3 linked regions of the Schizosaccharomyces pombe genome follow. Changing the gene in region 2 together with the main gene of any one other region gives a genetic interaction. Each region holds a gene or a part of one and is shown on either strand. Other genes may lie near its edges. The genes, in order: ubr1, ofd1 and rps23.

What was found.
Region 1: of ofd1 (region 2) and ubr1, changing one enhances a phenotype caused by changing the other (phenotypic enhancement), as found in Schizosaccharomyces pombe (one study listed by BioGRID).
Region 3: of ofd1 (region 2) and rps23, changing one suppresses a phenotype caused by changing the other (phenotypic suppression), as found in Schizosaccharomyces pombe (one study listed by BioGRID).

The regions. Positions count from the first base shown.
Region 1 is NC_003423.3:2,811,108-2,819,241, forward strand, and holds ubr1 (N-end-recognizing protein, UBR ubiquitin-protein ligase E3 Ubr1), read left to right. Parts: upstream 1-2,134; 5' UTR 2,135-2,241; coding exon 2,242-8,118; downstream 8,119-8,134. Other genes in the region: SPOM_SPBC32F12.12C (golgi membrane protein involved in vesicle-mediated transport), read right to left, coding at 1-149, 462-499, 550-620; protein mni1, read right to left, coding at 1,409-1,973, 2,022-2,047. UniProt on the Schizosaccharomyces pombe protein: Ubiquitin ligase protein which is a component of the N-end rule pathway. Recognizes and binds to proteins bearing specific N-terminal residues that are destabilizing according to the N-end rule, leading to their ubiquitination and subsequent degradation.
Region 2 is NC_003423.3:2,644,087-2,648,431, reverse strand, and holds ofd1 (2-oxoglutarate and Fe(2+) dioxygenase domain-containing protein 1), read left to right. Parts: upstream 1-1,794; 5' UTR 1,795-1,838; coding exon 1,839-3,386; 3' UTR 3,387-3,706; downstream 3,707-4,345. Other genes in the region: SAGA complex deubiquitinating submodule subunit, TREX complex subunit Sus1, read left to right, coding at 1-47, 116-362; U4/U6 x U5 tri-snRNP complex subunit Prp1, read right to left, coding at 3,722-4,345.
Region 3 is NC_003424.3:2,134,686-2,137,810, reverse strand, and holds rps23 (40S ribosomal protein uS12), read left to right. Parts: upstream 1-2,000; 5' UTR 2,001-2,022; coding exon 2,023-2,454; 3' UTR 2,455-2,486; downstream 2,487-3,125. Other genes in the region: mpp10 (U3 snoRNP-associated protein Mpp1), read right to left, coding at 1-1,666; family protein ICE2, read right to left, coding at 2,790-3,125.

The sequences.
Region 1 (8,134 bases), 170 kb from region 2:
AGCCTGGAATTTGTCTGATACAGGGCAAATACGAGAAAGGAAAGGAAGCTCAATAAAAATTAATAGAACGCCCTCAATGATAGTCAAAGCTGAGAAAAGAACGACAAGGGTAACGTGAAAAAGGTTGACAATACCTAGGATAATGCAAACTGAAGGTAGTAGGTTAGCAGATCTGCCTTTTAATGTTAAATGTCAATGGACCATAATTTGTGTGCAGTGAAATGAGAAGTAATCTGATTCAATAAACTTGATTGTCTGCAAAATAAAAAAATTGAGGGACATATACATTCTCATCAAACCAAAAATACTTTTGAACACTCACTTGCTACACCTTAACTCTTTATGCTCATAAACTCTCTTCACAGCTATCAGAAAGTACAAAGCAATCAATACAAGAAGAAGAGAATATCACAAACATTAAAAAGAATAACCAAATTACGCGATTGAAATTCTTTACATACGAAAAATTGAGAGAATTCCAAGCCACTGTGCATAAATACTACAATAAGTTAGTAACATTTCGCTGTTAAAGCAACTGATTTCGCATACGAAAAATTGTAGCTTTTGAGCTCTCCCAAAAACGTTGTCTTTGCTCTGTCAACTATTATAGACTCAAACATGTTGAAAAGTGTAGTTCAGAAATCGTCTTTGTTCTGATGCTGGTTAGATGTCAGTTCATGTCAGTTTATGATGTTTAGCTCGTTGTTATTTGGCGAAGCGAAATTAGTATTTGTTATTCTTTTTAATAACAAAGTGGCACGCAGCGTCAGGGTAACCCAAGTAACAGTTCGAATATGTACTATAGTTAGCTAGGTAAACAAACAATAGCCAGTTGTAAACAATCATTTCATCCATATTTCCGAATATGTAAGCTTTTTAATAAGTTATACAATCTCTATAGTTAATACGAGACTAGAAGTACTAATGAATTTAAGTTTTCTTTAATTTAAAATCAACTGTAGCGACAAAATTTCCTTTCCAAGAATTCACATCACTATTTAAGTAATTTGTTGAAATAGTACATTCAAAAAAACCACAATTATGTTTGATAACGTTAAGCTACCATTTCTTACTGCTAACCAGCAATACAACAAAGGATTGCTTTCAAAGCATTATGCAATTATTTTTTCCCTTAATAATTACATATTATCCAAAGAGTACACATTGCAAAAGATAAAGCAGAAACATCATTGCCCATTTTCTTCTTTGTATGCTGTTCTCGCAACAAAAATCATATCACTGATGAATACAGAAGCAAATAGATGAAATTATTTCAATGATTGTTAATTAAGGACGATAAAATAGCTGCTCTCCATTTTTTTGCTTTTCATTAGCACTCCTGCTTATTTTTTGGGTTTCTTCTCAGCGGGTGTCAAATCTGTAATCATTGTGGTTCACTAGAGGACAGTTACTCTTTTTCCTTGTATCCAGTTTTTTTATCAACGGTATTTATGGATTTCTTATTTTCTCTCTTGCTCATCTTTTCTGAGTAGACACTAGGTTCACTTGTTTTAGAAAGCGGTTTCGCGCCTCTTCTCCATTCTGGAGCTTGAGTTTTAGGGAAATTATACTTAAAGTCTTTTTTAGAATCTATTGAAGAATAAGTTTTATCCAGATGTTTAACAGAATCCTTCGAGATACGCTTTTCGCCAACACTATCATAATCATGCTTTAAACTCTCCGCTTTATGATCATTCTTCTCCTTTTTCTTGTTAGAAAGTGGTCTTTCTAATTTTTCTTTTTCTAATTCTGAAATTGGAGGCCTATCGATCGATTTAGAAGTTGAAGCATCGTTACTCAATTGCAGTTTCTTCATTTGCTTCTCTAAGGAAGCGAAGTTTCCTCTTCCTGGTCTATATCTTTTGATATCTTCAGGTGCAGTATATCCTGGTTTAACAGCTCTTTCACGCCTCACGCTACCATCTTTTCGCCTGCTCTCTGGAATTATCCATTTGCCATCAACCAATCGTGCTCTAAATAAAAACTTTAGTCAACTTAATAAAAAATTTAATAAGCCATACCCTGAAAAACTTCCATTGGTTTCCATAAATTAGTATATACTCTACTAACACGCTGGAAGTTCAAGTTTGGTTTTCGAAGTACTTATACTATTCCTACCTAAGAATTACTTTTCACAACAACACAGTCCTGTCATTACGGTATTTACACTAAAAGGACTTTCTCGTTCTATATGTTATTCTTTATTTTATCTATTTAAAAAGTTATTATTTGTAGCATGCCATGTTACAAGACGAGTCTAGCAGATCGTTGCCTAGAAGCGCATTGATTCGGAGACGGCTTTCATTATTTTTACAGTCTCATGCATTGATGTATTCATTTCTATGGTCAGAATCTGCTAAAAAATCCCTTCTGAATGAAGTCTTTTCTGCGCTTCTCGGATATGACCATACCTTGTGGAATACATTGCTTCCAGAGAGACCAACCATCGATGCCTCCTTTCTTCTCCGTCGTGCTCAAGGACACAGTGAGGGAGATGAGTATCGTCATGGAACCTGTGAGTCAAAATGTGGCCATATATTTCGAAAGGGTGAAGTATTCTATCGATGCAAAACGTGTAGTGTTGATAGCAATTCAGCGCTGTGCGTGAAATGTTTTCGTGCAACTAGTCATAAGGATCATGAAACTTCGTTTACAGTTAGTGCCGGTAGCGGCGGTTGTTGTGATTGTGGTAATGCAGCTGCATGGATTGGGGATGTGAGTTGCAAAATACATTCACATGAAGAAGATGCTACGATTAGCAACGATATGATAGACGAAATTCCGGAAAAATTAGAAAACAGTATCCAAACAACAATTGATTGTGTTCTTGACTTCGTACTGGATGTTTTTTCCTGTAGTCCTGAAAATCTCAAAAAAATGCCCACCTTGGAATCGATTTTGCAGGATGAGAAAACTTCGCGTCTCAGTGAAAATAAATACGGCGATATTGATGATTCTTGCAATATGTATTCGTTAGTACTGTGGAATGATGAAAAACACTCCTTCAAGCAATTTTATGAACAAATTACTACTGCATTAGAATTGCCGAATAACGTTTTTGGAAAGAAAATGGCAAATATTATTAATGACATCGGTAGAGCTTGCATCGTTACTGAGACTAATATAAAAGAGCTTCTTAAAATTGGTCAAAAGCTTGCCCAGATCAATCTAGCTGTTTCAATTCGTTCTATGCGTGACATTTTTAGAGAAGAATCTTGTGCTGTTTTACTAGAATGGCTTGCTGATATAGCAGGAAGCAGTATTTGTGGGAAAAGAAATTATTTTAGCTCTGTTATATGCAAAGAACTTGTTCGACCTTGGAATTGCGGACTTCATAATTCTGATCTTACTTTTAGGCTCTCCCTTAGAAGTCTTGCTCTTCCTGAAATTGTGGCCATTGACAGTCCTGATATATTTTTGAATGAAGATCACATTAACTCGTCAGGTCCATCTGACACTTCTAGTCATATGCTAGAAACTGACGAGTCTTCTATTCATTCTAGACATTGGTATCCTTCTAATTCTCTTCCGGATGTCCTTTCGTATGCCTCCAGAGTAAGATTTGATTATTTTTTTCTTTACGATTTAAAACTTTGGAAGAGCTTGCGTTACAAATTACAGGAGTTGTACTTGGGATACTTTATCACTCAGCCTGGATTTAAGGAAATTATGGGAGCCAGGATTGCCATTTCTTATAGAAGGTTGGCAGAACTTTTTCTTCTGTTGGACCGTGAACCTGAACACTCAGTCATTTTTTTTTCAATGCAAATATTTACCGTGGCAGACGTTGCCAAACTGTTGGTTACAGAGTATGATTTCTTGACTACAATTAATGCAACTTTGTACACTTTTTTCACCTATAAAAAACTTAATACGCCGAACTATGTCGATCAGCATGCCATGATAAGAACAGATTCGGCTGCCTTTCATTCACGTAGGTATATTCACATTTTCCATCACATTCAATTTATGTTAAGCATTCCATGTGTTGCTGAAATTGTTCGTGAAGACCTTAAATTTTTGAAGCAATATGCCGATTTTTTTAACCTGTTTCAAGGTATGTGCCCCTATACACGAGCAGTATCGCAGCATGTTGAATGGGAAAATGATTCATGGATGTACGTTTTGAACGTTAGTTTACAAGTTGCTAAACTCTGTAGACATGTTGGAAATGTCTTTATGGAGCTCAACACGAATAAATTAGCCAATGCTATAAACTACCTAATTTCCCTAATTCTTTATCCTAAGGCAAGAAATGAGTCTTGGACCAATACTGAATCATTGACTACAGGAATTACTGTTGATGAAAGAGGTAATTCGAAATTAATAGAGTATGATATTGCTCTTCAACCGGTATCGTTCCATCATCCTTTACACTGGTTGCTAGTGTACCTTTTATCATTTTACGTTGAACGAGACAACTATAAATTACTATGGACTCAGCTAGATTTACTTGCGGTTACGGATCACCCACTTCGTGTATGCGCTTGGTTAAGTCAAATGCGCGCAAAGCTTTGGATAAGGAATGGTACAACGTTACGTGATCAAGCTCACCATTATAGAAATCTAAGTTTTCATGAATACACTTTTGATTTAGACGTTTTGTTGCTTCAATTAACTTTAACATATGGCGATCCTGATGCTATCTTACCTTCTTTTATTTCTCGATTTCAATTAGAAGATCAAATGTATGGTCGGTTTTTTGTACCTCATAAACATTATGATGTATCCCAAGTCACGATAATGATGGAGGAGTTTTTGCTGCTTTTAATATCCATTGTATGTAATACTGCTGTCCTCGACCATTGGGATATTACAAGACGAATAGAATATGGAATCGCTCATATCCTTTGTTTTCGTCCTTTACCTTATTCCGAGATTACCAAAAGGACATGTGAGCATTTATTGGAGCACAAGCAATTTGAAAGCACTCTCAAGAAAGTCGCTACTTTTCGGAATGCCGAGGGGATCAATGATAGTGGTTCCTTCACGTTAAAAGATGAATACTTTGATTATGTAGATCCATTCAATATTCATTACTCTAGAAATCAACGTGAGGAAGCAGAGAATATTTTACGTAGACGGTATTCAAAACAGCATTCCAAACATTTGGAATCTGTAGTATATGAGGAATATCATCCGATATTGCATTCGAACATTACAATTCCCATATTACAAAGCGATTCTTTTGTTGGGATTTTATGGCACACTATCGTCTACGCTTATATTTATCCATACGATCAAGGAAAACTAGAAGGCTTGGTTAATACTGCATTACATGCATGTCTCCTAGTTTTAATGAGTGAAAAAGGATCTGAACCTATTTTTTCCAAAAAAATATGTGAGAATCGATTTCCAGTTGTCGAGGGATTACAGGAATATTGCAACTCTCCGGATGTTACGTTGTTCAGTGTTTTGTGTCAAATGAAAAACCACAGAAACTTTGTGTATGTCAAAGAAAAGATTTCTTTGATAATGAAAATCTTAAAAAGTGAAGTTCCGTTATTGTATGAACCTGTATATGCCGAAACTTTGAGTATATCCTCTTCGAAAATAGTTCAGTCGTTATCGGATGCCGAACAGCAGGAACAACATTTAGCTAAGGTGCGCATGGCAAAGGAACGACAGGCACGGATAATGGAACAGTTCCGAATGCAGCAAAATAAGTTTTTAGAAAATCATGCTCTTTTTGAAGCATCGGACTGTGAAATGGACGAAGCGGATGAATTTTCTGTAACCAGTTCAGTTAGCACTAAGTTATTCTTGGACCCACCTATTGATACTTGTCTTCTATGTCAGGAAGAACTGAAAGATAAGCGCCCCTATGGTACTTTGGTATTTGTTCTTAGGAGCTCGGTACTCAGACTATTTCCTGCTGATGATGCCAACTACGTTTCTGAAGTGTTGGATATTCCTGACAGCTTGGATCATGAGATTCAAGAAAGACCTTTTGGATTGGCTGGCAAACGAAAAAAGGTATTAGATTCTACAGAAGCTTACGATTATGATAATTACTATTATGAAAAAAAGGGCAATGAACTCCATCAGTTAAAGGACTCTTTTAATGGATTTCCCCCTGATCAGCTGGATCGTGGATTGCATGCCACTGGATGTGGTCATTTCATGCATATCGATTGTTTTAAAAATCATATTGCTACTGTCACACTTGCAACTCGAGCCAATCCTTACAGAAATCACCCTCATAATTTAAGCATGAAAGAATTCCTTTGCCCTCTATGCAAAGCATTATGTAATACTATTTTTCCAATCTTATGGCGGCCTAAGGAAGAGATTAATTTTCAAGAAGCTGGAGTACTTACCGCTCCTTTGAAAAATTGGCTGGTTTCTAAAACATTTTCATTTAATAAAGACTTAAATCAGCAACTTCTTGACATAGAAACCTCCCCTTCTGAGCACACACAGTCGTACAATTTAAATCTGCTTGATGTATTACAACACACCTTACGAGACTCGTTGAAAGATATATATACCCTCAATACTGGTGCTGATAATTCCAGTGATAACGTTGAAGAAAATGCGGATAACTTATTCCAATCGAGCGTATTGGATCATGTCCATTTTAAGAGTGTTGTAAATAATGAAGTTCCTGCCGATGAACGTCTCGCTATTTCAGATGATATATTTGAGCTTTATCGGAGGCTTGACGATGTAATAGATCTTAATTCTTCTTTATACTCCGATGATTTTATTCCAGTGAACGGTAAATTGCATAATGTTGTTAAACTCTTTTCATACAGCCTTTGCCAAGTTGAAGCATCTACTAGAGGACACATAAAATGTTCAAGTATTCCAGCGGATATTTGGGTGCATAATCTTGGAAAAAATCAGCAAGTTTTTTTAAGGATTTTATCTGAATCTATCAAAACTTATACTTTGTTATGTGCACATGATTCACAGAAGCGTATTGGGGGTTCAATTCAAGAGTTTGAATTTATTAGTTTCTGCCAACAAAAAAGGATATTTGGGCGACTATTGCCCTCTCTAGATTCACCGGTTACCAAATCTATTACTGATGATAGAGTTGAGCCGTTACTTGTGAAGGATACATTTCGAGAATTCGCCGAAGCCAGTGTCTCTGGTTTATTATCATGTGACGAATCGTTTCACTACTTGACGCAATTATACTATACTGCCGATATAGTTCGAAACTTATGGATTCTTTTGTCACAAAGAAACTCTTTACTGAAATGTATGGAATCAGTTGAATTTGAAGCCTTTGACTATGAGCAGCTAAAGGGGTTTGAGCACTTAGTTATCCAAATTTGGAAAAGTCTTCGTGTCGACGGAGCAGGATTAATCAATTTTGATTGTTGTACGGAGGATGATCTAAATAATCCTCATCTTTTGTTTACACTGTATAAACTATTGGAAAGGTTTTCTCTAATCTTCCTTCGAAAATGTGCTTTGCTTTGGTATTGCCGCTATGGAGTTTCATTTGAGACGCAACCGAATTTAAACTTTCAAAATTCAGAATTATCACGTTTACAAACAAAAATGCATATTCCAGGTGTTATTGAATTATCTAATCATCTTTGTCTTACGGCATCTTCCACAGAATGGAGCCTTATAAAGCACTGGTGTAATTTCTTTACAGAGACTGGTCCTCTATGCGATTTTCCTCGCGCTTATTACCCTGGAATTTATGAACTAGTTTCTTTACCGTATGAATTGGATAAAGTCTTTGAGTTACTATTGGCCAGGCGATGCTCGAAATGTTTAACTGAACCTATGGAACCAGCGATATGTTTATTTTGTGGGAAGCTCTTATGCTTCCAAAGTCATTGTTGTTCCTTTAATGGTATTGGAGAATGTAATCTTCATATGCAACAATGCGCTTCTGACATTGGAATTTTTCTTATTGTCAAAAAATGCGCTATTCTCTACCTCAATCCACCTGTAGGAAGCTTCTCTGTAGCTCCATTTTTGGATGCGTATGGAGAGACAGATTTGGGATTGCGTCGTGGCCGCTCTCAATATCTATCACAAAAACGTTATGATGAAACAGTACGAACGATGTGGCTAAACGGATCTATTCCTTCTTATATTGCTCGACAACTGGATGCGAATCCAGACACCGGAGGTTGGGAAACACTTTAGGCTAAACAATGGGAGT
Region 2 (4,345 bases):
ACTGAGAAAATTGTTGAGCAGCTATATGAAACTGGAGATTATGAAAGGTATAAAAGATAGGCTTTCTTTTTTAAAAAAAAAATTTTATAACTAAACAACAATTTAAAAAATGTAGGCTAGCAAATGAATTAGAATACAAACTTGAATCCTGCGGTTGGACAACTCAATTACGTGACTACACTCGGGGAATTGTGAATTCCGATTCTAAAATTGATTTTCAAAAGCTATATGAGAGCGCCTTGCAGTCTGCAACTGAAAGTATTCCCGATTCGGTTAAAATGGACTTGCTCAAAGACATTAAGACCTGCGTTCTAAAGTTGGCCAATCCTCCTGAGTCAGCAAATGGAGGGAATAAAATGTAACACAAAAATAAAAAATTATTGTTTTTCTAGTTTTTTGGTGTCGAAGTGATGCACCATGCATGAGGGTACTCTTTGGTTACATTGGATCATTTGAGACTGAAACAGTGAGAGGAAAAAATAATAAGGATATTACTAACAACGATTCTATAATAAAAGGTACACAATTAAAAATTGTTGGATTCATTATGTTATGATACGGTTTCGTTCCTCATTCTATATATTTGCAAATATGCTCTTATTAGCAAGTCGAAGAATTAATAGCAATTTTCAAAATCTTGGAAGAAGAGCATTTGCACATAATTATAATTTTTAAAATTTTCTACAATATTTGATAGTGCATCATTTCGCTTTGTACAAATGTAAACAAGTTTTCATGCAGATATTAACAATTGAAGGGCCGTACAGCTTTAAATCTTTGTTATGGGATAACTGATTATAAAATATGACCAAGATATAAAAGCCATCGAGTAATCTCAGGAAATCACAATAGTTCATGAAGTATAGTATAAGTTATCCATAAAGTTGCGCGTAACGATCAGTAGCATATTATTTAAAAAAAAAAAAAAAAAAAAGGAAAAAATAGTTAAATGGATAGTTAATAATCGTACTTCTCTAATTTACTTTCTTTTCTTTTTTTACTATTTAATCAAACACTGGGATTTCTTATTGTTATTGATTTCGGCCCCCACTTGGGACAATTTTCCTTGTAAGTTATAGACTGCTTGAATTGCGTTTTGACCTTTATAATAACCCCACTTAGGGTTTATTAATATCTTGACTACTATACAACTAATAACTATAACCTTATATGGGGGTCAATAACCCAATTTGTTCAGGCAAAGTATTTAATGCAATATTTGGCCATAGACATAAGTTTTGAAATAGAAGTATAGAAACAAATTGTTCCCTTTATTGAATATTAATTTTTAAAAAGAAATGAGATTAATTTCCGAAACCTGAAATGCGAGTTGTGGTAATAAAACTAGCTACGGTTTTTTTAAGGAATAAAAAAATAGTACTTTAAATCACAAACATCTTGAATAATTCATTTATTTGATTCAAAAGCATCAAAAGAAAGTTATCTAACTAATCAGAAAATGGAAAAGAAAACAGATTACTGTTTAAGATTCAAACTCTTTTAGCCTTATTTTGGGACTATACTGTTCTTTAAGCTCGAAGCGTTACTATCCAAATATATAGCAATAGGCAGAATTACGGATAGCACGTTGTTTTAAGCAAGCGAAGAATTAACCTGCGTTCCCTATCATTAAACAAATTCACAGTTACCGAAGTCACTCCGTAATAGGAGGTCTAAGAAAGTCTTACGATAATTCAAGAATGTTACCTATGGTGAGACCCGAGTCCATAAAAATGGGTGGGATGCTTTTCATTGCTACTATTGGGAGTTTGCCAACCACTAAAATTTTTACCTAATTGCACATTATATTCAGGTGAAATCTCAAATATAAAAACGGGATGGGGGATACTCAACAACCAACAGTGCTGGATAGATTTGCGCCTCATGCATTAGATACCAGTGAGGCAGAAAGACTTTCACGGGAATATCACAAAAATGGACCGTATAATCATGTTGTGATTCGTCCTCTGATCAATGATACACTTCTTCGAAATGTTCGTAAGGAACTTATGGAAAACATACATTTTACAGAGAAAGTAACTGATATTTACCGTGTTTGGCAAACTGGTGATCTAGCAAACTTGGATGGATTAGACAAGAAAGAGCAAAACATGCTTAAGTATTTGCGTCAAGTTCGTGATGCTCTTTACTCTGAGGAATTTCGCTCTCACGTTCAAAAGATTACCGGCTGTGGCCCTTTATCGGCTAGCAAAAAAGATTTGTCTGTTAATGTTTACTCAAAAGGATGCCATTTGATGAATCATGACGATGTTATTGGTACCAGGTGCATTTCCTATATCTTATACTTGGTAGAACCTGACGAAGGTTGGAAACCCGAATATGGAGGTGCACTCCGGTTGTTTCCTACATTACAACCATCCTTTCCTGCTGCTGATTTTTGTCACTCCATTCCTCCTCAATGGAATCAACTCTCTTTCTTCCGAGTTAAGCCCGGACATTCATTCCATGATGTTGAAGAAGTTTATGTAGATAAACCTCGAATGGCTATTTCCGGCTGGTTTCATTACCCTCAGCCTGGCGAACCTGGTTATGACGCTAATTACTGCGACAATACCGTTTCTACTTTGCAGTCTTTAACAATGAAACAAATGGACTTAGAACTTCCCCGGTTTTCATACTACCCAGTTGTTAAGCCAGAACCTTTATCCAAACAGGATACTGATATTTTAAGCAATTATATTAATCCACTTTACCTGACACCTGATGGCATTGAAAAACTATCAAAACGCTTTTTTCAAGATTCTGTTATTGTTTTAGTAGAGTTTTTAAATCAGGAATTTGCAAACACTCTCCTTAAGCGAATCATCGATGCTGAAAGGCAGCCCACTCCTATGCATTCTTCCGAAGTGTCATTCCCTTGGAAAACTGCCATTCCTCCTCATAAGCACAGGTACCTATATTTAGATCATGAAGAGTTTGGCCCTGATATTATTTTGCCCATGGATTTGCAGCGCCTTCCTGCGTTTCAGCGTTGGATCCAACTTGTCAGTGGCTTACCCCTTCGTTCCTTTCATCAAGTTGGTCGACGATTCCGCCCTGGTTCCGATTTTACGCTTGCTACTACGAATGACACAGCTTTACTAGAAGCTACTCTTTGCTTATCTCCGGGGACAGGCATTGCGAATACTGACAATGGTGCATATGATATTTATATGATTGGCGATGAAGATCCTGATGTAGATGCTGCTGTGTATAGGGGTGATCAGCAAGATGACAGTATTTTGCTTTCTTTGCCAGCCGCTTGGAATGTTTTTTCTTTGGTTTATAGAGATGAAGGTGTCCTTCAATTTGTCAAATATGTGTCGCGTCAAGCCGAATCTAGTCGCTGGGATATATATTCACAATGGAATCCCGTTGCTGAGTAAAGGCAACATATACTTAAAAGGGGTTACTTAATTTTTTTTTCTCTAATTTTTTGTCTTATTTTTGAAAGTTTTTCCCTTGTGTTTTTTAAAACCCACTTTCGTGTTGATAGTGTGTATTACATAAAAAGTTTTGGTTTACACTTTTACTGCTTTCTTAACTGGTATTCTTGTTGATTTAAAGTAAGTGTTCAATCGAACCTGTTTAAAAATCGTTCTTTTTTATTAAAAAGTCCGTAAATTTACAAATATCTAAAGTAAATTCGAATACCAATTTAAACATTAATTTTAAGATAAATAATAGATCCAATATGTTACAGTCATCATTTTTGTCGTAATCATAACACATTTATGGCAAGATGTAATAGTTCCTGCGGAGTTTTCCGAGAATTTTTGATATCTTTAGTAATACTGGGCCAAAAATAACCATGATGAGGATCAGCGGTTTCAAAACTTGTAAGCACTTCTTTCTGTTGGTCTTCGTTCCCAGCCTCTAAGCTATACTTATAAAACCAACACCACACATCTCCGTTATCTTGGTCAGCCTTAACAGCTTTTAAAAACCAACTACGCGCCTTATCTGCTTTTTTTTCCAGCCACAGCATCCTGGCGATGGTGCAAAGTAAATGTGCATTGCCTTCACATTTCCTTAAAGCATCTGTAGCACGAGTTTTACGCTGTGCGCGAGGTTCAAGCCATATAGCCTCCGTCCACAGCAAACCCGAAGATGGGCATTCCTGCAAGGCCTTAGCAAGGGCTGCACGAACTTGTGAAATATTCCCCGCCCGGAGTTCCATTTTTATAAGTTCAAGCCATAAAAATTCATTCTTAGGATTTTTAACCTTAGCCCTATCAAACACAACTCTCGCGCGTATAACGGACTGCTTTTCTTCAAGTTTGGCTAGCAAAAGCCACAAAGGTATGGAATAAGGACAAACTTTTGTGCCAGCCAAGTATGCGTC
Region 3 (3,125 bases), on a different chromosome or scaffold from region 2:
TACCGGAATTCCTTCTTTTCTCAGCCATTTGCTTACGTTTCTCAGCATGTTTTCTACGCACCCGCCTGCGGCGTGCTTGCTTTTGTTGGTGGTCCATTTCAGTCGATGAAATGGCGATACCTGACCGAGTAATAGTTTCACCTTCACGATTCTCATTAGACGGTTTATAAACTTCTTGAGGAGCCAATGCCATAGTGTCAGAGGCAGCAGTTGGCTGAACGTCCTCCATTGCTAAAGTGGGTGCATTAGAAACAATTTCAACAGTAGACTCAGGAGGAGGGGGAACATAATGCCAAGAAGCAAGAGAATCTAAAGTGCGGCTGACTTCCGAAAACAATGCCTTGATTTCTTCATGTTCTTTTTCTTTCTTTTTATCAGCTTCACTCTTATATGTGTCGGCGTTGCTCTTTTTAAGGAATTCTTCTTCATATTCTTCTGCTAAAGAACGCTGAGACTTATTTTCGTTTAACTCGAATAATTCGCTTGGTCGAAATTCAGTAACAGCAACTGGCGCGCGTTTAGGTACATCATCAAATGTTTTGGAAATAATTCGGTTTTTAATTAAATCTTCTAATGTCTCAGTAGTCTCTTCCGTTTGTACAGGGACAGGTTTAGCACCAGTTTCAAATTCCAAATCAACGTCTAACAGTGAATTAGAAGGTCGTCCTTTAGACGTTGCCTCCCCCATCATGGTCCAGGACTTCTTGGCAACGTTTTCAGCCTCGAGCTCACGAATTTGCTGAGTCAAACGGGCTTTATCGCGCTCATAAGAAGATAATTGATCAGCTGAAACATCGTCTTCTTCGTCACTAGCAAATAAATCTTTCTTCACTCGATCAAAGGTAGCATACTCATTGTCAGAGCTCTCATTATTTTCTTCAATAACATTTTGTTGCACATCATTTTTGAAATCCGGTTTACTTGTTCTTTTTCTTTTGGATTCGGCCTTTTTCTTTTTTAGTTCACGGCGACCGGCCGCTGTTTTTGGACCAAAAAAATCTTCGTACATAATGGAGTCAGCCTGAGGACCATTTGATTCATCTTCAGAGTCTTCCATATTCTCATCGGGATCCATTAACAAGTCAATACCGTCATCTTCATCGCCGAGGACACCCTCTTCGACTGCTTCCTCTTCTAAAGCTAAGGTTTGCTTGTTAAAATTATCAATATCAAAAAAACCATCATTAAGTCCAAATGCGTCTTTTTTCTGTTCGATTTGTTGTCCTTCTTCATTCATAATTTCAGCTTCATCTCCTGAAACATCTTCGGCAGAACTTTCGTCGACATCTTCTAGATTTTCTGGACCAGAGAACCCTAAAAATTCATCATCAGCATCATCCCGATTGTTCATTTCACTATTGTCAGAGAGTTCCTGATGACTTGTTTCATCATCCTCATCCTGGAAAGAAGTAATGCTATCTTCTTCTTCGTCTTCGTTTTCAACATCAACTTGAGGGAGATCATCTAATGCATACTTGGCAGCTAATGCTAGTTGGTTATATATTTGCCAATTATCTAATCCTTTTGTGACAATTGTTTGGATGGGACTTGTAGATGGGATTTTTATATTTGAGAAAACCTCAATAGCTTTTTCAACCAATTGCTTTGAATCCTCTTTATTCGGGAACAAAAAGAGTGTTGGCTCGGAATTTATAAGTTCAGTCATATCAAATCTTTTTTTTTTTTTAAATCTCACAAAACTTTGACTAAATATCTTGGAAGTATTCCAAGTACGAAACAAATAAATACCAATTGAGCTTAAATATTACACACCAAACCTTTTGCAAAGTACTTGCAACTCCTTTTTCCAAAATAATCAAAAAGACGTATGTTTTTTGTTTTAGATGTTTTTTCTTTTTTGTAATGTAGTAAAATTTTAGTAAGTATGGGCATCAACAATTTACTTAGTGAAGCGTTGCGTACTATATTATATAAGAAGGGTAGGGTTTGTGACTGTTTTGGACATAAAGCTAAGTTCACCTAAATCCAACACACAGTTCGCCGCAACCTCTATACTACAAAATGGGAAAACCCGCAGGATTGAACGCCGCTCGTAAGCTTCGCAATCATCGCCGTGAGGAGCGTTGGGCCGATGCTCATTACAAGAAGCGCTTATTGGGAACCGCTTACAAGTCATCACCTTTCGGTGGATCGTCTCATGCTAAGGGTATCGTTGTCGAAAAGATTGGTGTAGAAGCTAAGCAACCTAACTCTGCTATTCGTAAATGTGTTCGTGTTCAGTTGATCAAGAATGGTAAGAAAGTTACCGCTTTCGTTCCCCACGATGGTTGTCTCAACTTCGTTGATGAAAACGACGAAGTTCTTCTTTCTGGTTTCGGTCGTAAGGGCAAGGCTAAGGGTGATATTCCCGGTGTCCGTTTCAAGGTCGTCAAGGTTGCCGGTGTTGGTCTTTCTGCTCTTTTCCATGAGAAGAAGGAAAAGCCTAGAGCTTAAACGAACTTAATAAAAAGTTGTTTGTCTCATTACTGCGTCGTAAAATGATATTAGTTTTAGTAGTCTAAGTAGTTTTTCCGTAGTAAATTAGAATCATGTGACAGGGGATATACTTCTGTCTTTTATGGGTCTAACTTACATATACTTGGGACAAATACCTCTTAGTGACTTCCTAGTATATTCAGGGATGTAACCAGAAATTCTAAACTTGTAAACTAAGCCGTTTATATTCAATTATCAAGTAATGAAAAATTAACAGTGTAGACTAGAATTAGATGTAAAAAATGAAAGGAGAAACGAGTGAATTAAATAACCTTAGGAAAATCAATTGCAGATTAGTCAAGTTTGAAATGGCTAGCAAGAGCCTGGCCTGTGTCAGACTCTTTGCTATAAGCTAGTTCAATGGCGTATAAGAGGAGAGTTAAAATAGCACTTACCCAACGCCAAATTTCAGCGGAACACAATATTTGATTCACTGGAGAAGTGAAAGAGGGTGTTGGGTATAAGTGCTGTAATAGAAGGTTTGTATAGACTGCAATAAGTATACATGGAGAAAGAATACTCCACATACCCTGTTTAGAAGTTCGACTGTACTCGAGAAAGATGATGTTATTTTGTATTGCAGGTAAAATTCTTGTTACGGCATACATAACTGATATGCGAAAAGCAAA